4 linked regions of the Arabidopsis thaliana genome follow. The protein of the gene in region 1 interacts with the protein of each later gene in a pairwise test. Each region holds a gene or a part of one and is shown on either strand. Other genes may lie near its edges.

Region 1 (8,055 bases):
TTTTTGGGGCGACGAAGAGATAAAGCAGGACACGTGTCCAAACGAAAACCACTGTCCGTATTCTATCCAAAATACGGGGCACGATCGTATGTGGAAGTGGTGCCATCATGGTTTGGGACTTCAGACTCAGACAGAGTCAATCTTGATAAGTACGTACACTCATGTGACTCTTGTGCCGTGTCTCACACTTCTAATTAATATCTTGTTTGATTTTTTTCCTTTTTTAAATCAAAATTTTAACTATCAAACTAGTTAGAATTTTTTTTCGGACACTACTTGAATTAGATTTGTTTTTTCGGACAATACTTGCATTTACCTCTAAGAATAAACTCTTACTTTTAATTTAAACTAGTTATTATATCATATTATATAATAAACTAAAATAACAAATCTGTATACTTTTAATTAAACAAGATTAATTATATTTAAAATTTAGATTTTACAATTAAACAAAATTATAAGTCAGTTTAGATTTATAAATATAAATTAGAGTTTAAATTTACAATAAAACGAAATTATTTTTAGGTTTGGGTTTATAAATAAGTCACTAGAGTTTAGATTTAAAATTAAACAAAATTATATATCGGTTTGAGTTTAAAAAAGTGTTTAGGGTTATAGATTTAAAGAAAGTAGATGTTAGTTTGGATTTATAGAAAAATGTTTAGGATTTATATTTGACATTTAAACAAATTATATGTTAATTTGGATTTATTAAAATTAGGTTTAGATTTTACAATTAAATAAAATTATATCTTGGTTTAAGTTTATGAAAGAATGATTAGGATTTAGAATTTATAATTAAATATATATGTCGGCTTGGGTTTGTAGAGATTTTGTTTCTATAATTTGTTTTATTTTATTTTTATTTTAGTTTTGATTTATTTTAAATATAGTATGATATGTCATATTGTTTATTATTATTATTTAATTAAAAAGGGGTAAATAAAAGAGGTTCACCTCTAGGAGTGAACCCAATATATAAATTTTTTTCTGTCCAAATGTCAGTCTATTATATCCAAAAGATTTTAAATATTTGTTTATCAATATTACAAATTATCACATGATCTTTTTCATGTTTTGTTTTTATTCATACATATCCAAGAGACTTTAAATATTTGTTTATCAATATTACAAATTATCACATAATATATTCGTGTTTTGCTTTTATTCATATGATTCCAAAAATCACTTATTAAAAGCTATTCATTTTAAAATTGTTCCAACCTAAAAATCTTTATTTTTAAAGTCTTTTCAGAATATTAGACCAAAAATATAAATACATTTTAATAATATATATGACCAAATTAATTATTTAAAACTCTTCCAGATGCATCATTATATTTTAAAAATCGAGATGTTACATATGTGTTAAACTTTCTTTTTTGTCTTCTTATGTGATATCAAATTTTATGATCTTATCGATTTTAATCAGGTATATCTTGGTATAGCCTTAGATTTCATAATCGCATATAAAAATCATAAATTATGTAGAAACTAGTTATAATCAAATAATATTTATTTCATATGGTATACCAAAATTAAGTATTCAATTGCTACGTGGATATTAATAATTTGAATTCGGTAACATACTCTTTTTCTTTTTGTTAAACCAAAGAATCTCAAACAAAAGTTTTTGATCATAGTTACTAAATCATTTTTGGTGAATAACCGAGAGAATGTCTCCCGACTTCTATTAAAAAACAAAAATAACAATTACACAATCACTCGTCTTGAACAAACAGGTCTAGAAACATCATCCCGTAAGATTTCATCCGCACACCGGAGAACATAAACAAGAGCATAAAAGCTTAAAGACAAGCATAGTTTGTTAACATGTCCGTAAAATGATTAGCCTCTCTATATGTGAAACACGGTCAATCTAGTTTTTCGATAAAAAACTATAGCGCAAACGTACTGGAAATGATAGCAGATGAGAGTCCCATAACCTTGTCTTCAAAATCTCAACCACCATTTACCACAAATATGGGGATGAAAACAGGCAAACGGTCTCATACGTTGTAAATAAGCATTCTTAATGTCAAGTTGGTAGATAGGCCATAAAATAAGCATCCTTATGTTTAGCGCATAGCCTCCACACCATTCACCCTCCTCATTACGTATCAGACCACCACCAGCCGCGAGTCTCGAATTGCCATAAAATACCCCATCAGTATTTAATTTAAACCAGCCCATAGACGAGATAAGCCATTTTATCAGCTTCTCAACCCGACCAGCCCTTTGTGTTGCCTTTCCGCTACTAGCTCTCGCCTCCAATACCTCCTTAGCTAACTCTCTTATGAACCGCACCCTATTCTTCCATACTTTATTCTCCCCAAAAACTAGCTAATTGAATTACCAACATTTGATCAAGATAATATACTAGGTAGCTAATTAATGAGCTCATTTTTTTTTGTCGTCAATGGGCTAATTTATTAATTACAGTATGAACTATTGACTATTATTCTAAATAAGTGAATATCACGAGTATGTACGAATTATTGGATGTATCTATTTGTATTGATTGATGTAATATCAAATAGTATGAATTTGGAGTAAACGTGGGTTTGGGGTTGAAGCAGGTAGGGCATGTCAAAGTAGGGCGTCTTTCGTTATGTCCCTTTCCTCTAAATTTGAACCTCTGTCATTGTACAGAAAAATCGTAATAACCCATAAATGTGTTTTAAAAAACATTATTTCGAGTTTTCTACACATATTCTAGTCATGTTTAATTTGAATCTTTTCTTATTTAAGTAAGCTTTAGACATTTTTAACCTAAGTTTTCTTCTCCCTTCATAAATTTTGAGATCTATATAATGTTCTTACATTTTGGATCAAGATCTTCATATTCTCATTCCAATTAGTAAAAGATTTTTTCACCTTTTAATCTCTTATCTTTTATTTATATTCTTTAGTTATGTTTATGCTTTTCATCATATTTAGTGGTTAGTTTTTATTATTTATTTATTGATTCATGACTTATGCTAGATTATGATAAGAATTTATGTTACCACTTGATAAATCCTCCATTTGACATGTGTTTAATGCTAGATTTATATTGTCTCCAAATTTACAACTTCGATGTCTTATGATAAATGCCAACAACCAAATTTCAGATAAAGATTAGCAGACTAACTAAGCTTATTATTCACTTGCAAGGTGGAGTGATGTTGAAAGAACCCTCACAGACACGTCATTGGGAAGACTAAATCTCTTTTTAGCACGTTACACCTTTGAGATCGCGTTTATTCCATATGGAGAGAGAGCAACAATACGAGACATGGAGAGGCACCATTACCGCCGGCGCAACTGCTTCCAAATATTGACAAACAAATTTGAATCTGGATCTTCTCTATTCGTGAACAAGGAGATAGAAGCTACGATGAATGCATGGAAGCTTGGTTTGCTTTAATATAAACACTAAAGGGGAGTAGAACTTTCTTGAAAAATTGTATGCAAATTATTTACCGAATGTTAAAAGCTTTTTTCGAATAAATTTTACATTTTCTTAATAATAATAATAAAAAAGGATTGTTGATTATCTTAATCACAAACAATTTATTTTAGCTGAATTAGACAATTGTTAGTAAAATGATTAGAGTGTCACATATTAATGTTGTTAGTGTTTCATGTCATCCTAGTGATCCAATAATTAGGCCATTCTATAGCTCTTAACGTTAAAATAAAAGGCCCATTATCTGAATATACAGAAGCCCATTATCAATAGATACATTAAAAGATACTGATTAATCCAGAGGGTTTATATCTACGCCGTCTCCATTGATTATTTCTCCGTCTCTTGAAAAATCCGACTGACACTGACCTCAAAACTCTCCTCTCACTTTCGTCGTGAAGAAGCCAAATCTCGAATCGAATCAGCACCACACATTTCCATGGATAATTCAGCTCCAGATTCGTTATCCAGATCGGAAACCGCCGTCACATACGACTCACCATATCCACTCTACGCCATGGCTTTCTCTTCTCTCCGCTCATCCTCCGGTCACAGAATCGCCGTCGGAAGCTTCCTCGAAGATTACAACAACCGCATCGACATTCTCTCTTTCGATTCCGATTCAATGACCGTTAAGCCTCTCCCGAATCTCTCCTTCGAGCATCCTTATCCTCCAACAAAGCTAATGTTCAGTCCTCCTTCTCTCCGTCGTCCTTCCTCCGGAGATCTCCTCGCTTCCTCCGGCGATTTCCTCCGTCTTTGGGAAATTAACGAAGATTCATCAACCGTCGAGCCAATCTCGGTTCTCAACAACAGCAAAACGAGCGAGTTTTGTGCGCCGTTGACTTCCTTCGATTGGAACGATGTAGAGCCGAAACGTCTCGGAACTTGTAGTATTGATACGACGTGTACGATTTGGGATATTGAGAAGTCTGTTGTTGAGACTCAGCTTATAGCTCATGATAAAGAGGTTCATGACATTGCTTGGGGAGAAGCTAGGGTTTTCGCATCAGTCTCTGCTGATGGATCCGTTAGGATCTTTGATTTACGTGATAAGGAACATTCTACAATCATTTACGAGAGTCCTCAGCCTGATACGCCTTTGTTAAGACTTGCTTGGAACAAACAAGATCTTAGATATATGGCTACGATTTTGATGGATTCTAATAAGGTTGTGATTCTCGATATTCGTTCGCCGACTATGCCTGTTGCTGAGCTTGAAAGACATCAGGCTAGTGTGAATGCTATAGCTTGGGCGCCTCAGAGCTGTAAACATATTTGTTCTGGTGGTGATGATACACAGGCTCTTATTTGGGAGCTTCCTACTGTTGCTGGACCCAATGGGATTGATCCGATGTCGGTTTATTCGGCTGGTTCGGAGATTAATCAGTTGCAGTGGTCTTCTTCGCAGCCTGATTGGATTGGTATTGCTTTTGCTAACAAAATGCAGCTCCTTAGAGTTTGAGGTGAGAGTTTCTGTTTCGCTACATAATTCTCATTTGCTAGGCCTAGATTCTAATGAGGAAGCATTGATTATTGGTTTAGATTGTGTTGCATTACAGATAGTCTTCTAGGTTTGGTAACTAAACGTTTTTTCGATTCTTGATAACAAAGCCACTAGAGATTTGACACTAACTCGTTTTAGATTTACCTGAATCAATATCTCTGTTAAAATCAATTACTTTGTTATGCATACATAAATCACAGTTTAGTAGTCATATATATTGGCTCTTATTAGCGACAGGTCTCACACTTGCTGTAATGGCTGATAGTGTAGTAGTCATATGTTGGCTTTCATCTAAGTTGATGTATCATATGATGAATAGTTGTACACTCGTCAGGTTCTAATTTTTACCCATAATTCTTCAGTCTATTTTTTTTTGAGACAATCTATTCTTAATTTAACGAAGCCACTAGCTACGTATACAAATATTGTTAATTTAACGAAGTATCTGAGAATTGTTTACTGCTGACTGTGCTGTATGCCCTCAGAAACATATAGAAGTGGAATTGGAAACTTCATGCTGGTTTGAACATCTTTGTATGTGTGCTTCAGGTTTTTGTAACTCATTTAGACAACAGCATTGCATATATACACGCACATATGCAACCTAGAAAATCAAATAACCTTTCCTTATAATTACTATACATTTCACTTGATGTCAGGTGCAGATGTGAAGTGATCAATAAGGATTTTAGCATAGACCCGTATAATCGTCATGTGCGTAAGTAGGTTTGGTTTGCGCTCCCTCTCGCTTTTAGGTCCGCAATGACTCTGTATCTATCTGATTGTAACTAAAACTGAATTCATTTGATGAACCAAATGATACTATTATCTTATGTTGTGTATAAAACCCAACCAGGATATATTGCGGTTTCTGGTGTTTAGATTTGGTAATTGGAGCTTAGTACAATGCAACCCTGTCTTGCTTTATTGGACGTCTCTAAGATAAATCAGCTTGCAATGAATTCCAATGGAGTTTGTCAGTTTGAATTAACTTCTTTGCATAATTAACACAAAGATTTGCAGTATAAATTCCATTGGAAGACTTATTTGTTTATTTGACACAGATTTAAATTGAATTTCAATGGAGTTTCAGTCGACTATGTGACACAAAGATTTGAAATGAACTCCAATGGGAATTTGGTGAGTAAATTATTATAAACAATCCAATGTTTGACACAAATATTTTAGAATCTTCACATCTGAAGTCTTATAAATCGTAGCAAAATTTTCAATCTTGAAAATTATAAAAAATGAGAATTAATTTAAATCACTGATCCGATAATCTCCTCTAGAAATATAAGAATCTATAAACCATTAATAGTAGAATTCCAAAATGTTATAAATCTATATACTATAAATGAAAATTTTACTTTTTAACTTTTGTCTCCATAATATCATACCATACTTAAAATTTTATTTATTTTATTCTAATAATCACAATGTGTTTCTTTGTATATAAATAGAGTTTTTCTAATGGTTTGAGAAGTGATTTGGAAAACATGGATACTCATATTTTTTTCAATTTATAAGATGATCAAAATAGAAAATTTAGCTTATGAAATCTTTTAGATTTAGGAACAAATGTATACTCTAAAATGTAACTATTTGACATGTGTCAAAATGTTTTTAAATTTGTTGTGATCTTGTTACAATTAAGATCAAGCTACTTGTCAGATTTTATGTGATGGGTTAAATTTTACAAAATTCTAGCCCAAATATAAAATACCTACGTCCTCAAAACTTAAAATGCAAGCGATAATAATACAACTTAGAGTACAAAGAGGTTAAAGGTAGATAGAATGTCGACCAGTGAGCTCGCCTGCACTTATGCTGCTCTCATCCTCCACGATGATGGAATCGAGATCACCGTTAGTTTTCTTCTCTTCTCTCTTTCTTCAAATTTGTTTTCTAGCTATTGAGACACTGTTTAGCCTATGTTTTAGTCTCTAGAATCGTCATCTCTCTTTTCTTGCCTTGTGGTTTCAAACTGATCTCACTTAAGTGTTGTAATAATGTAAAATTATTAGGCTGAGAACATATCAAAACTGGTGAAAACAGCCAACGTGAATGTCGAGTCATACTGGCCTAGCCTCTTTGCTAAGCTATGTGAGAAGAAGAACATCGACGATCTCATCATGAATGTAGGAGCCGGTGGTTGTGGTGTGGCTCGTCCAGTTACCACTGCTGCTCCTACCGCTTCTCAATCAGTCTCTATTCCCGAGGAGAAGAAGAATGAGATGGTATTTATTATCACATTATTAATTACAACAAACTACTAAATCAAATACTAAATGGTATAATTGTTTTATAATCTTAGGAGGTGATCAAAGAAGAGAGTGAAGATGACATGATAATCGGATTATTTGACTAGAAGAGCTTCTTTTTCTTTGCTTCCAAATTTTATGAATTTTGCCTCATATGAATATTTTGATTATTTACAATTTATTTGATTGTTTATGAGAGACAACAAAAATAAATCAAATCTATTATTGGCTATTGTTTAATAAATATATACAACAACAAAAATATGGGGGAATTTCTTTTTCAATGTTTTTTTTTTTTTTGTCATCCGAAAATTAATTAGGACTCAAACGAGCCAATCCTGAGGAATGTTGTTTACAAATATAATATGAAGCGGTTGGGTACGAACTTTTCGTGCCAAAAAATCCGCTTTAACATTAGTACTACGAGAGATTAAAGATAGAGAAAAATCCGCTTTTCAATGTTTTTTGGTTTTAGTATTTTTGGATTTATAAAAACAAAACCATATGAAGACGTATTTATTGTTACCAAAAAAAAAAATGATAATAAGAAGACGACGCGTAGTTGAACTCAGGATTTTCATTTGTAGTTTTCCTGTAATCCAAACGGCGCACTGTTTTTAAATTCACAGCAGAGAGAAAAAAAACAAAACAAAGACGAGCCAAGATTTGTATCTTCGTCGTCTCCGATGCTAAGCTCCATCATCGACGACAAACCTGCCTCCTCCACTTGGCTCAACCGCCTCCGATTAAACAGAGGCCTCACAACCGACGATGACGATGCTTCTGGCAATCCACTTACTCTCGACGACTTTCTCCGCCGCAACCACCACACG
Region 2 (8,315 bases), on another chromosome or scaffold:
TCAAGTTTGCAAGATCTTCCCTCACAGAATGCTGCAATGCAATTACAAAGATATGAACTTGGCCACATTTTGAAACAGTAATCTGCAGGAATAGAGAGAAAGATTGAGTCTTTTCTTACCAGAACACACATGTCAGTGTAGTTGCCATGAGAAAATCTTTCAGGCAAACAGTTATAAAGAAGGTCCATCACATGCCAACTAGATGGACTAGAAGGAAGGCGAGCCATGAGCTCAGAATGAAGTTTGTGGAGATCTGTTTTCCTCAACAAATCGGGTAAACGGTGTTGAAGCGAATGAAGATCCACGACACTCGGTACTTTCGTTGCAGTGTATATAGTGAGCGCCAAAAACAGGAAAAACCCAATCAAGTGCCTGCAAATCCCAAAGAACACACACACACAAACACACTCAAGGCTCTTGAACTTTAAACAAGGATACATCAAGAAACATGATTCAACACTTACGTCCAAACATTCAAAGTCTCATTATGAATGGTAAAGATGCTGAGAAGAATCTGTTTGATCGGCCATTCGGATCGGTAATGACCAATGATGTACTCATTGTCTCTTAAATAAGCAGGCAATGAATGAAACTCCACCAATTGATACTTGACTTTCTGCCATAACCTCTTCCCTTTCACATTATGTTTCTTGTCCATTGTTTCAGATGAAGCTTGTGGCTTTAAATGTTCCTTGATCTCTGCCTCATCACCCATTTTCTCTCTACTCATAAACAAACCAAACCCATAATATCAATCATACAGATCTAAATCTAGCTCAATCTGAATCATTCCAAGAAGTTAGGAATCAAAGTTTCAATTTTGAACGTTTATGCTAAATCTTGTTTTGTTCTGGATAATGAAAGTATCGATTTTTATATGCAGATTCAGCTCATTCATTACCTAAAGCTTCAATCCATAAATGGATTTGAGAAAATTACCTGAATTTCGAAAGACAAACCCTGTAAGATTTAAGAAATTGAGAGATAAGTAATTAAGAGAATTATGAGAATTTTTCTTCGATTTCGTGAAATTAGGAGAGAAAAGGTGAGATTTTGTTACCTGGATCTTCAATGCCGACGAGACAAAATCTTCTAAGAAAGATCTCTCTCTTTCTTAAAAGTCAATCAAAATAGATCTCAAGGTTTCGTTTTTGTCGAAAACAGAGAGTTCTTGTTTTGGTATGAAATCGAAGAAAGAAGAAAAAATAGAAGACGACGATGGAAGTGGAAGCTCTGAAGCCACAAAGCTTTATGAATTTTATATATTTTTATATATTTCAAATTGGGACCACTAGTTTTGTTTTGTTTATTAGTAGGACCCTTTTATTTTTCTTTATTTTCGTTTGGGCTAAGAATTTAATAGCTAGAGTATTTATTGTACGAGGATGGAAATACATCAAACAGAGAAAATGTTTTGTCGAAAATATTAACAAATATTTCTCCTATGAAATCAAGTCTTTCTCAAAAAAAAAAAAACTTATTTGATATGGGGAATTTAAATTAAGGGAAAATTAATTTAACATACCATATGAGAGCAAAAAATAAAAAATAAAATAATTGTGCTCCATGGATTCTTCTTATTAATGATTAAAATTTTCAATTAGGTGAAAAGGAAAAATTTATGATTGTGGCACATTTATTGCATTTAATCATCTTTCAACTAAAAATGGAGATGTCTATTTATGGTTTTGTTTATTTGGTCGGATTTCTTTTTTTTTTTTGTATAGAAAATATTGACAACGAATTGAATTTCAGTTCTAGTTTATGTTTGGATTTAATTTTAAAGCAAAAACTATCTATCGTTAAGAATTTTCCGAAATAAAGATTCACATTTCAGAAGATTTTTTTGTTTTGTTTCGAGTCGGTTTTGGTTATTTTCTTACATAAAATACACAGAATAATTCGAACCATAATATTGAATTGTTATTTTGGTTCACGTACGTTTACCGTTGGAGACTTTATAGCTCTTCGTTTATGCTTGTACGGATCAATAATCATGCATACTTAAGTATTTGGAAAGAAGAAGAAAAATAAAAGATTTTATCACAACATAAATAGTAACGTGAATTGGCATAAATGAATCGCAACAAACAGGTCGCAATCACAATGATAAAAATATCTACTGGCACTACTTCATAAGGAAGGATCTTGTAAGAATATTACTTTCGTTTTATTCGGATAAGCAGAAGATATTCGTTTTTTTTCTGGCTCGTTTTTTCACCTATTCAAGTTTTATGTCAATTTGGTTACGTACTCCAAATTGTGGCACTTGTAATTTGACACTCTTTATCAAAGTTATCACTTATCTTACTTGCCAACGAAACTAGTATCAGTATTCAGAGCCATTAATACAAATCAATCAAATCTTAGAGGAAGAACTAAAATGATGTACATAAATTGATGTTTTAGTTTTGCCAATTAGCATAAATAAATACTTTTAAGAATCTTTTCACATTTTTTCTCTAATAAAAGTGAAACATACACATTAAATCTTTTCACATTTTTTCTCTAATAAAAGTGAAACATACACATTAGAATCAGTTGTTCACCATATATAAAAAGGCTCGCCAAATTAAGATCTGGACATACTTAAAATGGGATTGGGCTGGTAAATATTCTAAAAACATTCCTTAAAAAGCCCACTCTGATAAGTCCGCGACTTCGAAACTCCGATGCAGACCGAAATTGGTTCTATAGTTTGGGAGAGAATGACCAGACCGGTTCAATCAATTTTCCTTCGATGGACCCAACCGAATAACTTCCATGTGGGGACACAACTTAAGCTTGTAACGACCAGACATTCAAAGAGTTCCGTCAAATAGTAATAGAGAAAGACTAAAGAAGAAAATATGGAAAAATAAACAATAAATAATAATAGAAAAAGACTATTGAAGAAAATATGGAAAAATAAACAATAAATAATAATAGAAAAAGACTATTGAAGAAAATATGGAAAAATAAACAATAAATAAAATACCTACTTACCGTGGGTCCCACTACGGTACTACTGCCGCCTTCTCCGACCGTAATCAGCCGTCACCTGCCGGTTTAGTTACAATAACAATTTAGTATTTATTTGAATTCTTTCTCTCATCGAAGTCTAAGGAAGATGGAGCGAGGAGCTTTAGTGGGTTCTTCTTCTACTTCTAGCTACTATGTTCCTTACCACTTTCGCCAATCAAAGTCGAATTTTTCGTCATTCAAACCAAAAAATAAGCTAAACCCTACTCAATTCCGGTTTAACTGTTCATGGTTTAAGCCGGTTAGTTCTATAACGGCGGCGAAATGCAATATGTTTGACTACGCGGTGACTGCAGCCGGCGATGTGGAGGCTGAGCATCCAGTTGACGACAAACAGTTTGTGCGTTGGTTCCGTGAAGCATGGCCTTATCTTTGGGCTCACCGTGGCTGCACATTCGTCGTTATTATCTCCGGCGAGATCATCGCCGGCTCTTCTTGTGATGCCATTTTGAAGGTACCGTCTTTCTTCACCGTATTATATACTTTGATTTATGAGAAAAAAGCACGCAAGGTGTTCGATTGTTTGCTTGCCTCAACTAAAGTTGTTACTATTCTTATTTTGCTTTGTTATATGATCTTTTCTTTGCAATGTGCTTGAGTTTTCAGTTCTCGTATTTGAGTAGAAGGTGAAGTGATTTGATATATGTGCAGGACATAGCGTTTCTTCATCATCTAGGAATAAGGTTTGTTTTAGTTCCTGGAACTCAGGAGCAAATCGACCAGCTTCTGGCTGAGAGAGGTCAGAATATTATAAGCTTTGTCACGATGTTAGATTCTAGACTATAAACCTTGCTAGCGTCAAGTAAATGGTTTGGTTAGCTACGAGTCTAATGCTGTGTGAGTTGCAGGACGCGAGGCTACGTATGTGGGACGTTACAGAGTAACGGATGCAGCATCTTTGCAGGCTGCTAAAGAAGCTGCAGGAGCAATATCAGTGATGCTTGAGGCCAAATTATCTCCTGGACCTTCTATTTGCAATATCCGTAGACATGGTGATCGTAGTCGTTTACATGATATAGGTGTTAGGGTTGATACCGGTAACTTCTTTGCAGCAAAAGTGAGATTTTCCACTTTTTTTATTGTTCATACGACCTTGAGTCTTATTAATGTCGTTCATAATGACCGATGATTATCTTGGGTCTTGTTGTGGCAGAGAAGAGGTGTTGTTGATGGTGTTGATTTTGGAGCGACTGGTGAGGTAAAGAAGATAGATGTAGATCGGATTTGTGAGAGGCTTGACGGTGGTTCTGTAGTTTTGTTGAGGAACTTGGGCCACTCGAGCTCCGGAGAAGTCTTAAATTGCAAGTATGCTCGCTCTTCTCCAGAGAAAAATGCTTCTTCCATTAACCTTAGAAAGATTAAAGTTTTCTAATTCCACTTTACTTCTGCAGTACCTATGAGGTTGCTACAGCTTGTGCTTTAGCTATAGGAGCAGATAAGCTTATTTGCATAATGGACGGCCCAATTCTTGATGAGAGTGGACATCTTATTCATTTCTTGACACTTCAAGAAGCAGATATGTTAGTTCGAAAACGGGCACAACAAAGCGACATAGCTGCAAATTACGTAAAAGCCGTTGGAGATGGAAGCATGGCTTATCCCGAACCTCCTAACAACACCAATGGTAATATTACTTCTGCTCAAAACGGGAGAGCCGTTTCATTTTGGGGAAACGGAAACCACACTCCGATCTTTCAGAACGGTGTTGGATTTGACAACGGAAACGGATTGTGGCCTTGTGAGCAAGGTTTTGCTATTGGTGGTGAAGAAAGATTAAGCCGCTTAAACGGTTATCTTTCTGAATTGGCTGCTGCGGCGTTCGTCTGCAGAGTGAGTGCTTTTTAAACGTTGGTCTTGATTCTACTTGCCACCATTAAACTGAAACCGTTTGCTTTGCTTCCCTTATGAAGGGTGGAGTCAAAAGAGTTCACTTGTTGGATGGTACTATAAGTGGAGTTCTATTGTTGGAGCTTTTCAAAAGAGATGGAATGGGAACTATGGTTGCTAGGTACATTCATTCTTTTCGTCTTCACTCGCATATACTCCTGGCTTTTTCGTGTTCTTACAATTCTATATTGCCTGTTACGTGCAGTGATGTTTACGAAGGAACCCGTGATGCCAGAGTGGAAGATCTAGCAGGAATTAGACATATAATCAAACCCTTGGAGGAATCAGGGATTTTAGTTCGCAGAACTGATGAGGAGGTAACAACCCTTACTATCTTCAACATCTCATTGTTTCATCGGTTTAAAAACACTGCTAAAGGGTTTGATCTTTAAATGCAGTTACTGCGAGCTTTGGATTCATTTGTGGTTGTGGAAAGGGAAGGACAGATCATCGCTTGTGCGGCTTTGTTTCCGTTCTTCAAAGACAAATGCGGAGAAGTTGCTGCAATCGCGGTTGCATCAGATTGTCGCGGTCAAGGCCAAGGCGATAAATTGCTCGGTGAATAAACTCAAACCCTTTCTGTTACATTTGCAAAGCAAAGCCAGAGAACCTCAATGCAACAACACAATCTATTTCTGCAGATTACATAGAGAAGAAAGCTTCATCTCTCGGGTTAGAGAAGCTGTTCCTACTCACAACGCGAACAGCGGATTGGTTTGTGAGACGAGGGTTCCAAGAATGCTCAATAGAGATCATACCAGAGAGTAGAAGACAAAGAATCAATCTTTCAAGAAATTCAAAGTATTACATGAAGAAGCTAATCCCTGATAGAAGTGGCATTTCAGTTATGAGAATCTAAGCAAGAAGATGACACACATTAAGCAAACACACAGAACCATATTGTAAAATCAATATTCATAATTCTCAAAAGCTTTCAACATTGTTTGATTTCGAAAAATTCAAAATACTTATTTTGATCTCAATCTCAGTTTCATTCCAAAGCTACAATAGCACCAACCGCTTTGAGTTTCTCCATGATCTTCTCAGCTTCTTCTTTAGTAAGACCATTCTTCACAATCACTGGGGCTTTCTCAACCAAAGCCTTAGCTTCTTTCAATCCCAGATCCGTGAATGCTCTGATCTCTTTTATCACTTTAATCTTCGAAGCCGCTTCGAATTTCTCAAGCTTCACATCGAAAGTAGTCTTCTCCGCCGTTTTCGTCTCCGTAGAAGCTGACGCGTCGCCGACAGATCCGGTAACAGCTACGGCGGAACCGTAGCGATTGAGACCTATTTTATGGCTGAAGAGGAGTGAGTAATCGTAAAGCTCAATCCGATTCAGTTTGAGTAAATCGTCGGCGATTCGCTCGAGTTTCTTCGTTCGAGCTTCGGGAGAAGCGACGGCGCATAGGTGACGAGTAGCGGAGGATAGCGGCGTCGTACGGTGGAGGTAACCGAGAGATCTCGAGAAAATTCCGGAGATCGGAGCTCGCATTTTCGCCGGTGAATGGAGGTTTTTGTTAGGGTTTTCGCCGTCCGTTCAATTTCATTTCATTTTGCCGGTACTTTTTGCTCGTCAAATAAAATGGGCTGTCTAAGGCCCACATAATAAGGCCCATAACGAAAACAACTAGTATGCACCCAAATCAAACCCAACCAAACTAAAAGGATGAAAAAAGTAAATATATATATATGTTAAAAAAAATTGAATATTTGTTTTTTCTTTGGGAACATAAAGACTACTTAAGCTAATGAAATCAAGTTTTTCTGTTTGAACTCATAATTAAATAAATTAACCTAAACTTCATAGGATTAATATAGACATTCCCTATGATTATGAATATAGGCATTTTATAGTTAGATGAGTGTAATGGTCAAGTCGTGGTACAAGGGGACCCAACAAGGTTTTGATTCTAGTTAAAGCAAAATTGGGCCAAGCAATAGACTTTTATTTCGCTAATTTGCTTTTTGCATGACTTTATAAACAAGAAAACAGACCAAAAGAAGATAAATTGTTATAAAAAGATTAGCTTAAAAAGCGAAGCTAAAAAGATCGTACCGATATTAACATGGGGGAGGCAAAAGCCTTCATCAAAAGATGCAGGGAGAGAGGAGTTGTAGTGAAACCAGCCACATATCTCAAAAGCAGTTCCCACTACTTTTTTCATATTTATAATTCAAAAAAACAATACTATATAAACGTTAGTATCAATGGATTTAACTATTTATTTCAATTATTTACTTTTTATGGGCTGTTTTCTAAATAAAAACATGATGGGTAAGCGGGGCCATGAACATTCGTAGGTATATGCATGTGTAATCCATTGAAGACATAATAACATTATATATGTATGAATCAAATAAAAGACTGGTCCCTTTATCTCTTTTATAAAGCAAAAGGTGAAAGAGCCATTATTAAAAAGGCAATATATATTAATGGTTTATACTTCTCAAGAACGACAAATGAATAAGTATAATGTTGTGAAATTAATCTTCTTGTATAAAACATTGTTTTTTTGTCTTTGTTTCTTGTAACAAAGGCCGTTACCAATAAGTGAATATTGCAATTAGATAGCATCGCCAAATTCAATCGGTTAGTTGGCTCATATTAGTGATCCATGTTTAGCCTAATAATATTGTACTAAAACACAGATGATGCATGCAGTTGAGAAAGTATTTTTGAGGTCTAATCGTATATTCCAGTGTTTTGAGTTTGATAATGTATAAATGTAAAATAAGCCTTTCTTGTGTGAGAGTCTGTTCACCTCTAATATTAATCGCTCACTAGGATCATATATATGTAAACATACCTTAATAAGATCGATTATGAATGATCAAAAGCATGACAATATACATTTCAGAAGCGTGCAAGCCACTAGAGGTGCATTCACGAGATTCCAACTAAGAGATTCCCTAACCAAAGTAGCTGTCTTAAGATTCTATTTATATATATTCACGAACCGAGAAGAAGTGAAGTAGTGAACATGCTTTTATTAGAAACATGGAATATTATATCTAACAAAAAAAACATGGAATAATTATAGAACTTAATCAGTATTAGTTGTTGTTGAATTTGATATTTATTGCTAGTCTTATTCATTTATACTATATTTTTCCACCATTATAATTCCAGTAGTTCAATGATCCTCCAATGTAACAGTAACTAATTTACATATAAAGCTCACGTATCTAGAAAGAAACTCACTTACTAGTTTTGAGCTTTTCGTGTAACATAGAACCATACATTCATTATAGAGGAAAATAAACCCTATTATTTCGGATAAACAAAAGTAATCACAAATTTCATTCCAAAATGGATTTTTAAAATTAATAAATACCAAAGACAAAACAAAAAATCACGAATTGTATGAACCTTGATACCCACCTCAATGATCAGAATTACTTAA
Region 3 (6,741 bases), 2.7 Mb from region 1:
ATATCAATGATGATCAATATGTACTAGTGATCAATATCATATGTTTTTGTGTTCCAACCACTTGTTTCATTCAATAGTACTTGTACCATATTGCGCCAATTGTCCCAAATGGTTTGACCACTTGTACAACTCAAAATCCAAAAAGATAAGAAAATATGAAGATAATCATGAATGAGACATAATTAATACGGTTGGTCCATGAATAGGATCACCGGTCTGGCTTTTTTGTACACCACATATCTTTTCAATCTCTTTTGTTAGATAGAACCATTCACACTGATTTTCACAAAGTCAGAGAGAGACCTTTATCTCAAAAGAATATCTGCTTCTTCATTTATTTTGTTATCCCGTTTGGCTATAAAGCGGCAAAAACATGTTGGCGAGAAATATGAACCACATAACATACGTAGAAGCTTATAGAAAGGGATTATCTATCCAAACTATATATGTAGACCCACCCATCAATTCTTTTTCTCTTCACTAAAATAATTGATTCGTAAAATCTCTTATCTTTTTCCTACTCATGCCAAAGTCACATTTCGAATGAATTTGTACTAACATGGCTACATGTGAAATTTTGCAATTCTAATTAGGTTGAATTGGCCAACAGATTTGAGTTATAGGAAAACAATAGTATTTTGTGGTTATTTAAAAATGATCAACACTTTCAAAAATATTACAACCGTGATATATATTTGTTTAATTTCTTCTATTTTATTTATTTATTTATTTATTTGAATGTTCTCAATCCAAAAAAATAGGTTACATCGATATCACAATATTTGTATACTTATCTTAATGTAAATCTATTTGCAATACATGATTAATATAACATGTCTTGTAAATGTCTACAACATTGAAGTTACATTTGAGAATGAATGAATAACATGTGTTTACAAAATTGAAATTACATAGACAGCTTCATTTAAAAACAAAAATCTTATTTATAATAAACCAAATCTTTTTGTTTCTTCTCAAATAATAAGAAAACATTTTGGCAAAAAAAAACTATATATAATTACATGTATATAATTGAGATTATATAAACTTTGGCTTAAAAATAAATGGATGGTGGTGAAGAAAAGGGAAAATATCACAATGGTTGTCACGTGTCACTTCACACAATCCAGTAGACCAGTACCTAACATCCAGCACCACCAAGCCTAACCATAAACTCCTCAAATGACCTAAAAGGTTTTTTTAACACTTCGTTTCGACACCTGAATTGTTATCTGTTATTTTATCTTTTTCACGTCTTACGCCTCCTAAATCCTAATCGCTTAAATATTTTTTGAACATGTTCTCATCTGTTTTTAAAAAATTTGGATTTTCTTTTCACTAATGATTGTTACATTAGATAAATGTGATTTCCACTACAGGTTTGGATTTTATTGCATTAGAAAATATGGTAATAACAAATATTTTTATAAGAGATGACAAAAACAAATACTCTAAGTAGACAACAGCCACACACCAACCACTTTCTGATATTTGAAACCCTAAGTAAAGAACGAGAAGGAATTCTTGTGGCTGAGAAATTTTGTTGTATTATCAGTGAACGTGAATAAAATGAATAAGAAACAAATAAAAAGAAAACTAGTGGCTAGAACCCTCCTTCTCGTCATTCCACATGTCAAGTTTCTGTAGAACAGACGGCTAAAATAAGAATCAGTGACATGGAGAAAAGTGCACTGACATTCACTAATTATTAGTATTAGTACTATATTATAAATTAAAGTGTAATTACTTTCACTTCCACCGAGGATGACTTTTACAATTTGAGGAGTATATTAAATTATGTGCTTAACAATGATTTCAATAAAATATCTACACATTTGTGAAAATTGATGACGACCTGGACGATGGATAATCATATTAATTCGAGAAAGTTGAAACTAATTATAAATATCATAGATAGATTCGTATCTGTATATATTATATTATATGGTATGTATACGTAGACTTACGTTATGGATAGACCCCCACCATGTTTTTATATAGAGGCAGAAGATATTTAACTTATGGTTTTCGTTTTTTCGTAAAATATGAAACAAAGACAACGACAAAACGAAAAAGAACCAAAAATAGTATCTCATTCTACTTTCACTTGATTTTGGAATTTCATTTATTTAGATTGTGATTCAAAACCATTTCAACTATGTAAAATTCTGTGCAATATTTTTCCCAACTAAACATATAAGTTTGACATGAAAAAGAATATAGGAAAATTTAGAGGTCCAAATTTTATATGTATATCGGAATCATGGTAGGATACGTTATCAATTGCATTTGTATGAGGCTTGCTATTGCTAGTATAGAAGCATCATCAACAAATCTTAATATCAGTCCAAATTTGAATAACCCATTTTGTGGATCTCATTTCATAAAATAAACCATTTTAGTGTCCTGCAAAAATGTGTTTAGACAGAAATCTTTTTTAAAATCTGAATTTAGATATTATGATGGTTATAATTTATATATAAATTTACTATCAAATATTGTGTTCATATATGGAAGAATGGAGAAAAAAGAGTAGAACCCCACAAAATAAAAAATGGATAGACTATGTTTTCTAAGATTGGACAAAGTGTATAATAAAATCTTCTGATCTGGTCCAAAAATAAAATGTTAAGAGTTTTCGAATTCGAATAATTTGATTTTGATTAAGATATCCACTTCGGATATGTTTTCATATGTAGCTTTTTAAAATACCCTAATAAATATTTTCATAAAGAGTTTATGTAAATAAATCAAAATATATTTTTAACTTTTTATTTATTATAGTTTTATATATTACTGTTTTAATTATTTTGAAGTATTTTTGATAGATATGGATTTGGATGGTTCCGCAAACAAATCCTATGGATCCGGATCCAAAGAACCAATCATAAATTTTGGAATATGTCCACCCATATATGGATCAATAGAGATATAGTTAAGAAAAGAAAATGAATTTATCCCGCAAATTTACATTTTTATCTCATGTAGTGGAACCAATGAAAAGCGAGTAAGCTAAGAAGTCATACTCTCGAGAGTACGCCTTTCCATATTTTCCTTTAAAAGTATCTTCTGGTGGCTCACATTTCTCCGTCCAGCAAAATCTTTTTTGTTACATAAATATTATATTTCCTGATATTTTATATTAAAAGATTATCCAATTGAAATGATGTCAAAAAAGGAAAGGAAAAGTAGGGGAATTAAATAAATACATACAGTGATAATCGAAGTACCAAATCTAACTGTTTTAAAACAAGTAGATTCATTTTAAAAAATTAAATATTTGATTTTTCAAAGAGATAAATGAATAAATCTAGTACAAATTTTGTTGCAAAAAAAGAAGATGAAGAATATGAGAAAGAGCGACACGTGGCAAAGATGGACATTGAACGTGAGCCACAAGATTTTCCATCTGTTTCTCGAGCGTTCCATGGAAAACCAATAAGAATTATTATTTTTATTTTTTAAAAATTGGGAAAAAGCGCACATAGCAGAAGCTGACGTGGCATCACCCTCCTTTTTGTCTTCCCTATTTTCTCACCCCCCTAATTCCCTTCTTCCTCCTTCACAGACCCCAAACTCTTCTCTTCTTCTTCTTTCTCTCTGTTTTCTTCTTCTTCCGCCGAATCAGAAAGCTTGTCTTTTTCTTTACTCCGGCTACCAAAACTTCTCGGAGTTTCTCTGAGAGTTTCATTTCCGACCTTCTTCTTATCCTTATTTGCGGCAAGATTTCCAGCGAGAGTTTTTTTCTCTTTTCCTTTATCGAACATAAGAAATCTCTGGTTTGCTGGAAGTTTTTTTTCCGGAAGGTGGAAGCTTAGATTGGTTCTGATTTCAGAAGCAAATCGTTTGTTGTTGCCTAAGTAAACCGAATCAATTTATGGGATCTATAGAAACAGACGGAGAACAGAGGAAATTAAGCTGATTTTTTCAAGTCTAGATTCGCGAATTTATCTTGGTGTTTCCTTTTCTGTGTTCCACACCTTTCGAGTTTTTTTTTGTTTTCCTCCGCCGAGATCTTAATCCGGGAAGTTATGGCGTCGTCTCCGTTGACTGCAAATGTTCAGGTCTGGTCTCAAAATTTGATTTTTATCCACTTTTTTTGTTTTGTTTCTGCTTTATTCAGGTCTGGTCTCAAATGAATCTATGAGTTTAAAATACTGTATACGGACATTTAAGTAATAAAGCTTAGAGTTAAAGCAAGTTCGTTGCAATTCATTTGCAGACTCTTGTTTCTTTTGAGCTATAAGTTCTCTCTAGATTTGTGTGTTGCAACTACATTCATTTGAATCCTTGAGATGGAATCGACTGTGTTGGAATTTTGTGATTAGGATATGTAAATCGAGTTTAATTAGTTGGACTTTGTGAATGAATGTTCATTGAGAAACTGAAGAAGAAAGTAAATAATCCAATGCCACTTTGTGTCATAGTCCTTAAAATGATGTTTCCTAAAGTCGTTTTGCTTGATGATGGCTTTAGGGTACCAACGCTTCTTTGAGGAATAGAGATGAAGAAACTGCAGACAAGCAGATACAATTCAATGACCAAAGTTTTGGGGGAAATGACTATGCACCCAAGGTTTGTTTCTTTTAACATCAAATGTCAAATATTGTTATGTAAAGTGAAGATCTGTGGCTCAGTTCATCTTTTCTTACTTAGGTACGGAAGCCATACACGATAACAAAAGAGAGAGAGAGATGGACAGATGAAGAGCACAAGAAGTTTGTTGAAGCCTTGAAATTATACGGGCGAGCTTGGAGACGAATAGAAGGTAAATTAATGATTTAGTAATATCTCTTGCTACTGAGTTATGGCCTTACCTGGACCCTCAAAAATATATGTTTGTTTCACTAACAGAACATGTGGGCTCAAAGACCGCAGTTCAGATTCGAAGCCATGCTCAGAAGTTTTTCTCTAAGGTTTATACACTTATTTGCTATTATATCTTTACCCTTGTTCAAAGAAAGTATCAGTCTAATCTCTGTAGCAAACCTAAGTTCTGCATAAATAAGGAATCATTATACATACATTGTTTGGAGACTTGTGTTCTGACTTGGCTTTGTTCTGTTGTATTCACACAGGTTGCTCGAGAAGCAACTGGAGGTGATGGGAGCTCAGTAGAGCCGATTGTAATACCTCCTCCTCGTCCCAAGAGAAAGCCAGCGCATCCGTACCCTCGTAAGTTTGGGAACGAGGCAGATCAAACAAGTAGATCGGTTTCTCCCTCAGAACGTGATACTCAATCTCCAACCTCTGTGTTGTCCACTGTTGGATCAGAAGCATTGTGTTCCCTTGATTCGAGTTCACCCAATCGAAGCTTGTCCCCAGTTTCTTCTGCATCACCACCAGCTGCTCTTACAACCACTGCAAATGCACCTGAAGAGCTTGAGACTCTGGTACTTGACATAAACAAAACCGAATTTATACTTAACAGCAATACCTGCTGTTAGATGCTTAATGCTTAATATTCTTGGTTTAATCAATTTGTACAGAAGCTGGAGTTGTTTCCTAGTGAGAGACTCTTAAACAGGGAGAGCTCGATCAAGGAACCAACGAAGCAAAGTCTTAAACTCTTTGGGAAGACAGTTTTGGTATCTGATTCAGGCATGTCCTCTTCTCTAACAACTTCAACATATTGTAAATCCCCAATTCAGCCATTACCACGGAAACTCTCATCATCCAAGACACTACCCATAATAAGAAACTCACAAGAAGAACTCTTGAGCTGCTGGATACAAGTCCCTCTTAAGCAAGAAGATGTGGAAAATAGATGTTTGGATTCAGGAAAGGCTGTCCAAAACGAAGGATCATCGACTGGATCAAACACTGGTTCGGTGGATGATACGGGACACACGGAAAAGACCACAGAACCCGAAACAATGCTATGTCAATGGGAGTTTAAACCAAGTGAGAGGTCTGCATTTTCTGAGCTCAGAAGAACAAACTCCGAGTCAAATTCAAGAGGATTTGGTCCATACAAGAAGAGAAAGATGGTAACAGAAGAAGAAGAGCATGAGATTCATCTCCACTTATAACACATTTTCTTACGTACCCTAAAGAAGAGACTTTAAATTTACTATTCATTCGACTTTCTAAGTTTTCATCAATGTAATTTTTGTTGTTGTTTCATTGTTTTCTCTTGAGGTGTTTGTTCTCTAGGCTAAAATTTTCTGCAAAAGTTTGTAACTGTAAAACTCGTGTACAATTTATACAGTTAAATCTAATGATTATGAGATCTTTCTTAATTGATGGTTCAACAAAAGCAAGTTTCAGGTGTCTCTCTTCAATATCTCCGATTAAATTAGGTTTGGTAAAGAGTTTGCTTTGAAATGAAGGCAAAGAAGAAAAACAGTGAGGTTACCACCAACTGAACAAGTGTGTGTTCAAAGTTCAAACCCAACAAATAACCGAACCGATTCGGAAACCAACTCTAACCTGAAATTTTGATAGAATTTGACCAGACCAAATTAGACCGGTTAACACCCTTTCACGTTAGCCACCAACAGATTAAGCAGTGTCTAACGTACGCCTTATTAATACCACATAAAGACGCAAGAGAAGATGACGTCATACAGAAACAGCGTCGTTTTGAAAGCTGAGTTTTTTTTGTGAAGCGAGCGAGCGTGAGAAGGTGTGACGGGGAAGAGAATGGCGAAGGAAGCGGTCAAGTATGTATGGGAAGGAGCAATTCCTCTGCAGATTCATCTCCACAAATCCGACGTCGCTTCTCACCCTGCTCCTCCT
Region 4 (7,128 bases), about 18 Mb from region 1:
GTCGTGAGTGCTCTGTATCCGTACGATTCGACACCGTTTAGCTCCTCAGCGAGCGATCGATGGAGTTTAAAGCTCGCGCGTGCTAAATGCGCAACAGGACTTCCATCGCACCAATCGAAAGCGAGAAATCCACCGGCTTTACCGGAAGCAGCGCACGCGACGGCTGATTTCTCGACGAGAGTGACGGCGATTCCTTTCTTGGCGAGGAAATAAGCAGTACAGACGCCGATTACTCCACCGCCGCATACAAAGACCCGCTTCGAGGTTTCTTCACCGATTTGTTTTTTAGCCGCCATTGATTTCGATGAGTTGGAGCAGATCGTGATTGTTCGTCGGGTTAACACCGGAGGGAATAATAACGATGAGATCACCGCCATCACCGAGATGAGATAGATGATGACTCACCGAGTCCACACGTTAGTTAGAAATTATTTATTGGGCTTAGTTTCTTTTTGGGCTGATCTTTTGAAGCCCATTTATTGTATAATCTCTACGCTATTGTGTGTTACTGTGTTTCCTATGATATTTAGTAGCTGATAAGTGATAACTGATATTCTCTGTATGAATTTCAATGAATAGTTTTCTGATTCTAGATGTTTTAAGAAGTTGAAAAGGACTTGTTGAAATAAATTATGGGGGAAAAGGACAAATGACCAACTAACAATCAGATAGGCCATTCCAAAATTGGGCTCCACCACTTTGACGACAAAAGCCCATTTATAGGGCGGCTCTACTTCGGCCTTTCATCAACCACACATACACTCCTAATGATTATTATTCAATATATTTTTAGTAGGTACTGTGATGTTGTTAACTTTCAGTTAGATAGACCCGCCGAAACTTTTTCTTATAATATTACATATAATTTCGCTCTGTTTATAATCATTTTATTCCTCTACTTAAACAGAAGCTTCTTTCATTCTTTGTGTTCATTGAACTTGTTTACTATACGGAAAGTTTCTGCAATTCTATAAAAATATATATAAAATAATGAACTGTTTATAGAATTGTACTTACTTTTTTGGTTTTAGTGAAGCAAATTTCTATTTAATCACACATTTACTGCACTCTAAAAAGGTGAAAACCTAAAATGTAATCGTTCACACATTATCTTCATGTTCAAATCCGATGGAATATTTATCGATCCAAGAGTTTCAATTAATAATTTGCAACATAATCTTCTTATGCCTTTCTTATTTAGCAAGTGTGATGGTCGATCCATTGATCATTGTTCATGAAAGTTGATGATGTGGTCGATATTTTCTCCACATGAGAAGTATTGTTTTGAAAAGAATATTTATCATATACTACTATTATTGACAGAAAAAACAGTGTAGAGAGTATTGTTAATATTAATTAAGTCAAAAAAAGCCGGCGGCCAATGTGGGGAAAAAGCTTCACACACTTTCATGTAGTAATCTGTCCTTTTGTTTCTAGCTTTATATTGCCCTCGCTTTTGCCCGTTCATGACTCTTATGATGCTTGGTCGTAAAACGTGATTCCATGCATTATCTTATAGAGTTATAGTATATAGATATTATCAAAATGATCAAGTTTTTAATATCCCAATTCTACATTTGAAATTTTTTAACATTTGATTTACAAAGTTGACGATAAATTTCAGATTTGAAGACGAAATAAAGCAAATCTTTAAATAAGTTTTTTTGGAAATATCATATGATATCAGAATTCTAAAAAATCCAACAAATCGGTAAGTTCTAACATATAAGATGAAATAGTACTTGGTAGGTACAAAAATTAAACGTTTTGATTCCACACATACAAAAAGAAGAAGAAAAGAGTAACTTTTTATTTGTCGTCCAACAAAGAATCGCTTTTCAATCAAGCTTTAGTGAAGGTGTTAGGTGTGTGTGGCTTAAGCATATACATCAGAAGACCAACAAAATTTATCTTAAGCACGAAGGTCACCGAACGTAGTCGTTTCAACGATGACCGTACCATTAATGCAGATTTGTAGTGCGTGTGGATATATACATGCACACGTGTGGAAGGTGAAGGTACAAAATGTGCATACGGCTTAAGGATAAGCGAGAACACGGAAGGATATTTTGTAGCAGCATCTTTCTATTCTATGCAACTAAGTAAACGAACCACATGCACCTGTTTTCTTTAATTTATTGCCTTTGTGATTTTTTTTGTTGACACCATTATGTTTTTTTTTTGTTTGTAAACCATATAATTAAGTAGTTTCCCTAAACCGTTAACAATTAATACATTCTATAATGTCGAATAAAAAGAAAAGGTAATGCAAGTGGAAGAATATCTAAACACGTTAGTAGACCAATAGCAAAATTACAGTTGCTAGCTTACACGACAGGAGGAACAAGACAAGAGTAGTTTTGCCTTTGTTAAGAATAATTAGCATGACACGTCACTCAAACTTACACGTGGAAGGATAATTCATGGACACGTGGACATACTGGAAAACAGCTGTTAAATCTTTGTCCGGTTATCGTAAGTTTTTGAATTTTAAAACTGTATTTAGCCGAATTAGGTCATGTTCCACGTGCCTTTTTTTCTGCACCACTATCTCTTTTCCACAAGAGGGGCAATGATTTTTTGGTCCAAAAATATACAGTTGTAATCTTGGACGGTGTGTCTTAAATAAAATAATATATGGACGGTGTTTTCTTTAATGTTTTCTATGTTCATATGAACTTCTCGGTGGTCGTTTCAATCACAAAATTTATCATACCAGAAAACAAAATATTTTCAATAATTGAGGCTGTACGTTGTGTATTTTAGGTTTTTTCTTTAGATTGTTGCATGTTATATTTTCAGTTTACTATATGTTGTGATGATTATTCGTTACAAATGTTTTCAAAATGTCATACTATAGTAGTCATTTATAATAGATATGAAAAATGATCACAGTTGATTTGTTTTTTTGGTGGACTACGAATAAAATCGTTTTGGTAATTGTCTAATCTTCGAGTGAGTAAGACACCGTCAATCAACCATCAATATCATCAATCAAAACCATTATTGATCTATTTTTTGGTTTAAGGAAAAGTTGGTAATTGTAAAACGACTTCAATAAAATATTTAAAACAAGGAGACCAAAACCGACACTCGGACCATTGATAATAGAAACAACGAGCAAGGTTATAGTAGTATAGTTGAGTCTCACAAACGAACACGTAAACCCAATATAATAACTACGCAAGGTTACATCTAGAGCTTATTGTTCCCATCACAATAACCTCTTGGCATTATTAATTATCAAATTCACTCAAAGTATTAAACTCCTGATGTCTAATAGATTATCAACAAATCGACAAAAATGTAGATATATAACTCAAAAGGTATAAATTCAAATGTTTGGTGGGGTTACGTAAAAACTTGAATTATTAAGAACTAACAATACTATAGTTTAATTAAAAGGAGAATTATGAACCGTTAGAGGGAAGGTTAGGGAGCGTGCATGAACATTACCTGACGTTTACCGACCTGATTCGTACCGTACATACCAGAACAAAGAGCTTTTAAAAACCCGCGTTTTACGACCGACACGTGGCAGTTCTTAAATGGATGACAGTTAGTGTTTTATTAATTGTTTTTGTTTGATTAACAAGTTTTATACAGCCTGGCTGTTTCTATTCGTATTTTCGATATAATAATTAAATATATTTCAGGAAACAAAGGCAGTGATGATTTTGCGTTCCAATTCGGCAACCTATGTTGTCGTTTTCTGCCACGTCAAAACCTCCTATCTTTTGTTAACCGCACATTTTACATCACGTTTCCTAAACCGAACATTAATATCTAACCATTTTTATACATTCACTTAATATCGCTCACACGGTTCTTTGTCAATCCCATTTTAATCCAGCTTCGTTTCAAATTATTGAGGTTTAGATCTTTTTATGATCATAGAGCAACTATATATAGATTTAGTATTGTCAATTTGTCATGCACTGTTATATGCATGAATTAGGTGTTTGTGTGTTGTTTAGTAATTAATTATACCTTCTTAGTGACAATTTGTTTTCTTTATTAGTAATGAAATTTGTGGTCAATAATTTTGATTAGTTTTCAACCCGGAAAATCGGTTATATGTAAAGTAGATATTATCATAAAGTTTTTATGTGAAGTGCTATACAGCCTGGCTTCGCTATTCTAAAGTCAAGACTAAACATAAAAATAAATAAAAACTGTCCTTACCCAAACCTAACCGTTATCATCTTTTTATTTTTTTCTTCAGATATTTCTTTTTCATTTTTATTTCCCCTATAAAAAAATTTAAATTCACCTCAAATTGTGCGAATATTATCATGGCTTTGCTAGTTGGGTTTCGTGATTTTGTCTCTTTAACTTCTTACTTTCGCCACGCGCTTAAATGGCGCGTGTACTCACAAACTCATACTTTGAGACTCGACTGATCTCCACGCTCAACTATACGAAATTGCTGATCTTGAACAAAATTATTACGAAAACGACAAAAAAGACACATCGACGTAGTCAGGCTTCGACGCGTGTCCACTTACAGCTGTACCGCAAACTTTGAAAAACCGCTTGCGTGGAAGAAGCGTTGCCCATGACTTCTCCACCGTCTTAACCGGTTTCCGGTTATCCTCCTCTCTTAAATCTCTGTATAAATAATTTTGTCCTCTCTTTAGTTTCTCGAACTTGTTTTTGGTTCATCTCTCAAAACCAAAATCACTAAAGAGGAGAAGATTGCTAAAGTTTGATAAAACATTCCAAAATCAATGGCTGATAGGATCAAAGGTCCATGGAGTCCTGAAGAAGACGAGCAGCTTCGTAGGCTTGTTGTTAAATACGGTCCAAGAAACTGGACAGTGATTAGCAAATCTATTCCCGGTAGATCGGGGAAATCGTGTCGTTTACGGTGGTGCAACCAGCTTTCGCCGCAAGTTGAGCATCGGCCGTTTTCGGCTGAGGAAGACGAGACGATCGCACGTGCTCACGCTCAGTTCGGTAATAAATGGGCGACGATTGCTCGTCTTCTCAACGGTCGTACGGACAACGCCGTGAAGAATCACTGGAACTCGACGCTCAAGAGGAAATGCGGCGGTTACGACCATCGGGGTTACGATGGTTCGGAGGATCATCGGCCGGTTAAGAGATCGGTGAGTGCGGGATCTCCACCTGTTGTTACTGGGCTTTACATGAGCCCAGGAAGCCCAACTGGATCTGATGTCAGTGATTCAAGTACTATCCCGATATTACCTTCCGTTGAGCTTTTCAAGCCTGTGCCTAGACCTGGTGCTGTTGTGCTACCGCTTCCTATCGAAACGTCGTCTTCTTCCGATGATCCACCGACTTCGTTAAGCTTGTCACTTCCTGGTGCCGACGTAAGCGAGGAGTCAAACCGTAGCCACGAGTCAACGAATATCAACAACACCACTTCGAGCCGCCACAACCACAACAATACGGTGTCGTTTATGCCGTTTAGTGGTGGGTTTAGAGGTGCGATTGAGGAAATGGGGAAGTCTTTTCCCGGTAACGGAGGCGAGTTTATGGCGGTGGTGCAAGAGATGATTAAGGCGGAAGTGAGGAGTTACATGACGGAGATGCAACGGAACAATGGTGGCGGATTCGTCGGAGGATTCATTGATAATGGCATGATTCCGATGAGTCAAATTGGAGTTGGGAGAATCGAGTAGACAAAGTGAGATTATTAGGAAACTGTTTAAATTGGAGAAGAAGAAAAATGCTCTGTTTTTTTCTCCTTTGGATTAGGCTTAAGAATTTTGGGTTTTAAGGAAATGTATAGAGGAAATCGAGTGAACAAAGCTCGAGAGCTGGGGACGTAGTGACGAAGACGAAGATCAAATTTCTCTTAAGCTATTCAGGAAAATAAAATAAATTTTTATTTATAACTACGCTTAATGATGATAATAGATCAAATTAATACACAAAGTATCACAAAGTGAAAGATAAATGATCCAGTTAAAGAACAAGTTTGTCGAGGATTGGTAAAGACTTGCATTTGGCAACTAAAGGCACAGATTTGGGCATGGTAAGACCCTTTCCTTCCGACATGTCAACGGCAACGTCATTGTCTCTCTCCCAATCGAAACACTGGATCAATGAGCCTAAAGCTAAGCTCAGTACTAGTTGGGCCAGGCCCATACCAGGACATGCTCTCCTACCGATTCCGAAAGGCAGAAACTTACCACGATGGGTCTCTGATTCAAACCTCTCTGGTTTGAAAGTTTCTGGGTCATCCCATACATTTGGGTCTCTCTGAATAGCCCACGCATTGATAAATAGCCAGGTGCGACGTGGAATGTCAAATCCAGCGACTTCACAGTCAGTGGATGAAGCGTGTGGGACAAGTAAGGGCGCCGCCGGAAACAAACGAAGAGTCTCAGAGATCACATTGTTGAGATAGGGACACTTGCCAGTATCTGATTCCTCAAACACACGCCCTTCTTTCGAAACCTCGTTTAGTTCCGTTTTGAGTTTCCTTAAAACTTCCGGATGATTTAGAAGGTTAGCCATAGCCCACTCCAACGTCACTGCGGTTGTGTCCGTTCCAGCAAGCAACATCACCTGCAATGAATCCTTTGAATCTTTGATGAATCAATCTTGATCACTCCTATTAACGATTCAAAATTATAGGAATTAAAAACTCATGTACCTGTACGAGCCCTTTGATGATATCATCAGTGTAACATTCAGGTTCTGATTCTTGAAGAGACAGCAAACGAGTGATCATCGTTTTCTCAAGCTCTGCTTTTCCTCTGTTTTTCCGATGCTCGTCGACTAATTTCTGCATAAACTTGTCCAATTTCGAAGCGAGTTTCTTTGCTCTCTTTCTGTATCCATCAAGATCAAAGAGCTTCAGAGTCGGGAGAAAATCTCCGACATAATTAACACCAGCGAAATCGAACACCTCCCTAATCAGCTTCCGAACTTCCTTAGTTTCCTCGTCTTCCTCTCGTTTTCCAGCGACCATGCTCATTAGGATGTTATACGTAAGCCCATAAAGAAACGGCTGGAGTTTCAATCTGACACTGCCTCCTGATGTTACCAGTTCCACGTTGATCTTCCGAATCATAGCTCTCACTTCGTCTCTCCGTATATCCGAAAAGTCTCTGAGACGAGCGGTGGACAAGATATCTACGGCGCAGAAACGGC

The links.
Region 2: the proteins of TTG1 (region 1) and NAGS2 interact in binary tests that used the Arabidopsis thaliana proteins (3 or more experiments, as listed by UniProt).
Region 3: the proteins of TTG1 (region 1) and RVE1 interact in binary tests that used the Arabidopsis thaliana proteins (3 or more experiments, as listed by UniProt).
Region 4: the proteins of TTG1 (region 1) and MYBR1 interact in binary tests that used the Arabidopsis thaliana proteins (3 or more experiments, as listed by UniProt).

The regions. Positions count from the first base shown.
Region 1 is NC_003076.8:8,368,569-8,376,623, reverse strand, and holds TTG1 (Transducin/WD40 repeat-like superfamily protein), read left to right. Parts: upstream 1-3,776; 5' UTR 3,777-3,890; coding exon 3,891-4,916; 3' UTR 4,917-4,917; intron 4,918-5,443; exon of another isoform or gene 5,444-5,492; intron 5,493-5,617; 3' UTR 5,618-6,307; downstream 6,308-8,055. Other genes in the region: AT5G24510 (60S acidic ribosomal protein family), read left to right, coding at 6,758-6,826, 6,986-7,198, 7,276-7,329; AT5G24500 (fantom protein), read left to right, coding at 7,909-8,055.
Region 2 is NC_003075.7:17,693,631-17,701,945, reverse strand, and holds NAGS2 (N-acetyl-l-glutamate synthase 2), read left to right. Parts: upstream 1-2,954; 5' UTR 2,955-3,109; coding exon 3,110-3,475; intron 3,476-3,672; coding exon 3,673-3,760; intron 3,761-3,869; coding exon 3,870-4,078; intron 4,079-4,174; coding exon 4,175-4,326; intron 4,327-4,412; coding exon 4,413-4,851; intron 4,852-4,931; coding exon 4,932-5,029; intron 5,030-5,113; coding exon 5,114-5,225; intron 5,226-5,306; coding exon 5,307-5,466; coding exon of another isoform or gene 5,467-5,474; exon of another isoform or gene 5,475-5,549; coding exon 5,550-5,767; 3' UTR 5,768-5,887; downstream 5,888-8,315. Other genes in the region: HHP4 (heptahelical protein 4), read right to left, coding at 1-31, 120-372, 465-730; AT4G37660 (Ribosomal protein L12/ ATP-dependent Clp protease adaptor protein ClpS family protein), read right to left, coding at 5,900-6,403. UniProt on the Arabidopsis thaliana protein: N-acetylglutamate synthase involved in arginine biosynthesis.
Region 3 is NC_003076.8:5,689,726-5,696,466, reverse strand, and holds RVE1 (Homeodomain-like superfamily protein), read left to right. Parts: upstream 1-3,474; 5' UTR 3,475-3,542; coding exon of another isoform or gene 3,543-3,767; 5' UTR 3,768-4,031; coding exon 4,032-4,064; intron 4,065-4,476; coding exon 4,477-4,575; intron 4,576-4,656; coding exon 4,657-4,768; exon of another isoform or gene 4,769-4,835; coding exon of another isoform or gene 4,836-4,854; coding exon 4,855-4,916; intron 4,917-5,078; coding exon 5,079-5,393; intron 5,394-5,489; coding exon 5,490-6,032; 3' UTR 6,033-6,241; downstream 6,242-6,741. Other genes in the region: AT5G17305 (uncharacterized protein), read right to left, coding at 3,543-3,767; autophagy protein Apg5 family, read left to right, coding at 6,646-6,741. UniProt on the Arabidopsis thaliana protein: Morning-phased transcription factor integrating the circadian clock and auxin pathways. Binds to the evening element (EE) of promoters. Does not act within the central clock, but regulates free auxin levels in a time-of-day specific manner.
Region 4 is NC_003076.8:26,849,379-26,856,506, forward strand, and holds MYBR1 (myb domain protein r1), read left to right. Parts: upstream 1-4,643; 5' UTR 4,644-4,730; coding exon 4,731-5,648; 3' UTR 5,649-5,934; coding exon of another isoform or gene 5,935-6,540; 3' UTR 6,541-6,628; downstream 6,629-7,128. Other genes in the region: AT5G67290 (FAD-dependent oxidoreductase family protein), read right to left, coding at 1-377; CYP81G1 (cytochrome P450, family 81, subfamily G, polypeptide 1), read right to left, coding at 5,935-6,540, 6,629-7,128. UniProt on the Arabidopsis thaliana protein: Transcription factor. Represses the expression of protein phosphatases 2C in response to abscisic acid (ABA). Confers resistance to abiotic stresses dependent of ABA. In response to auxin, activates the transcription of the auxin-responsive gene IAA19.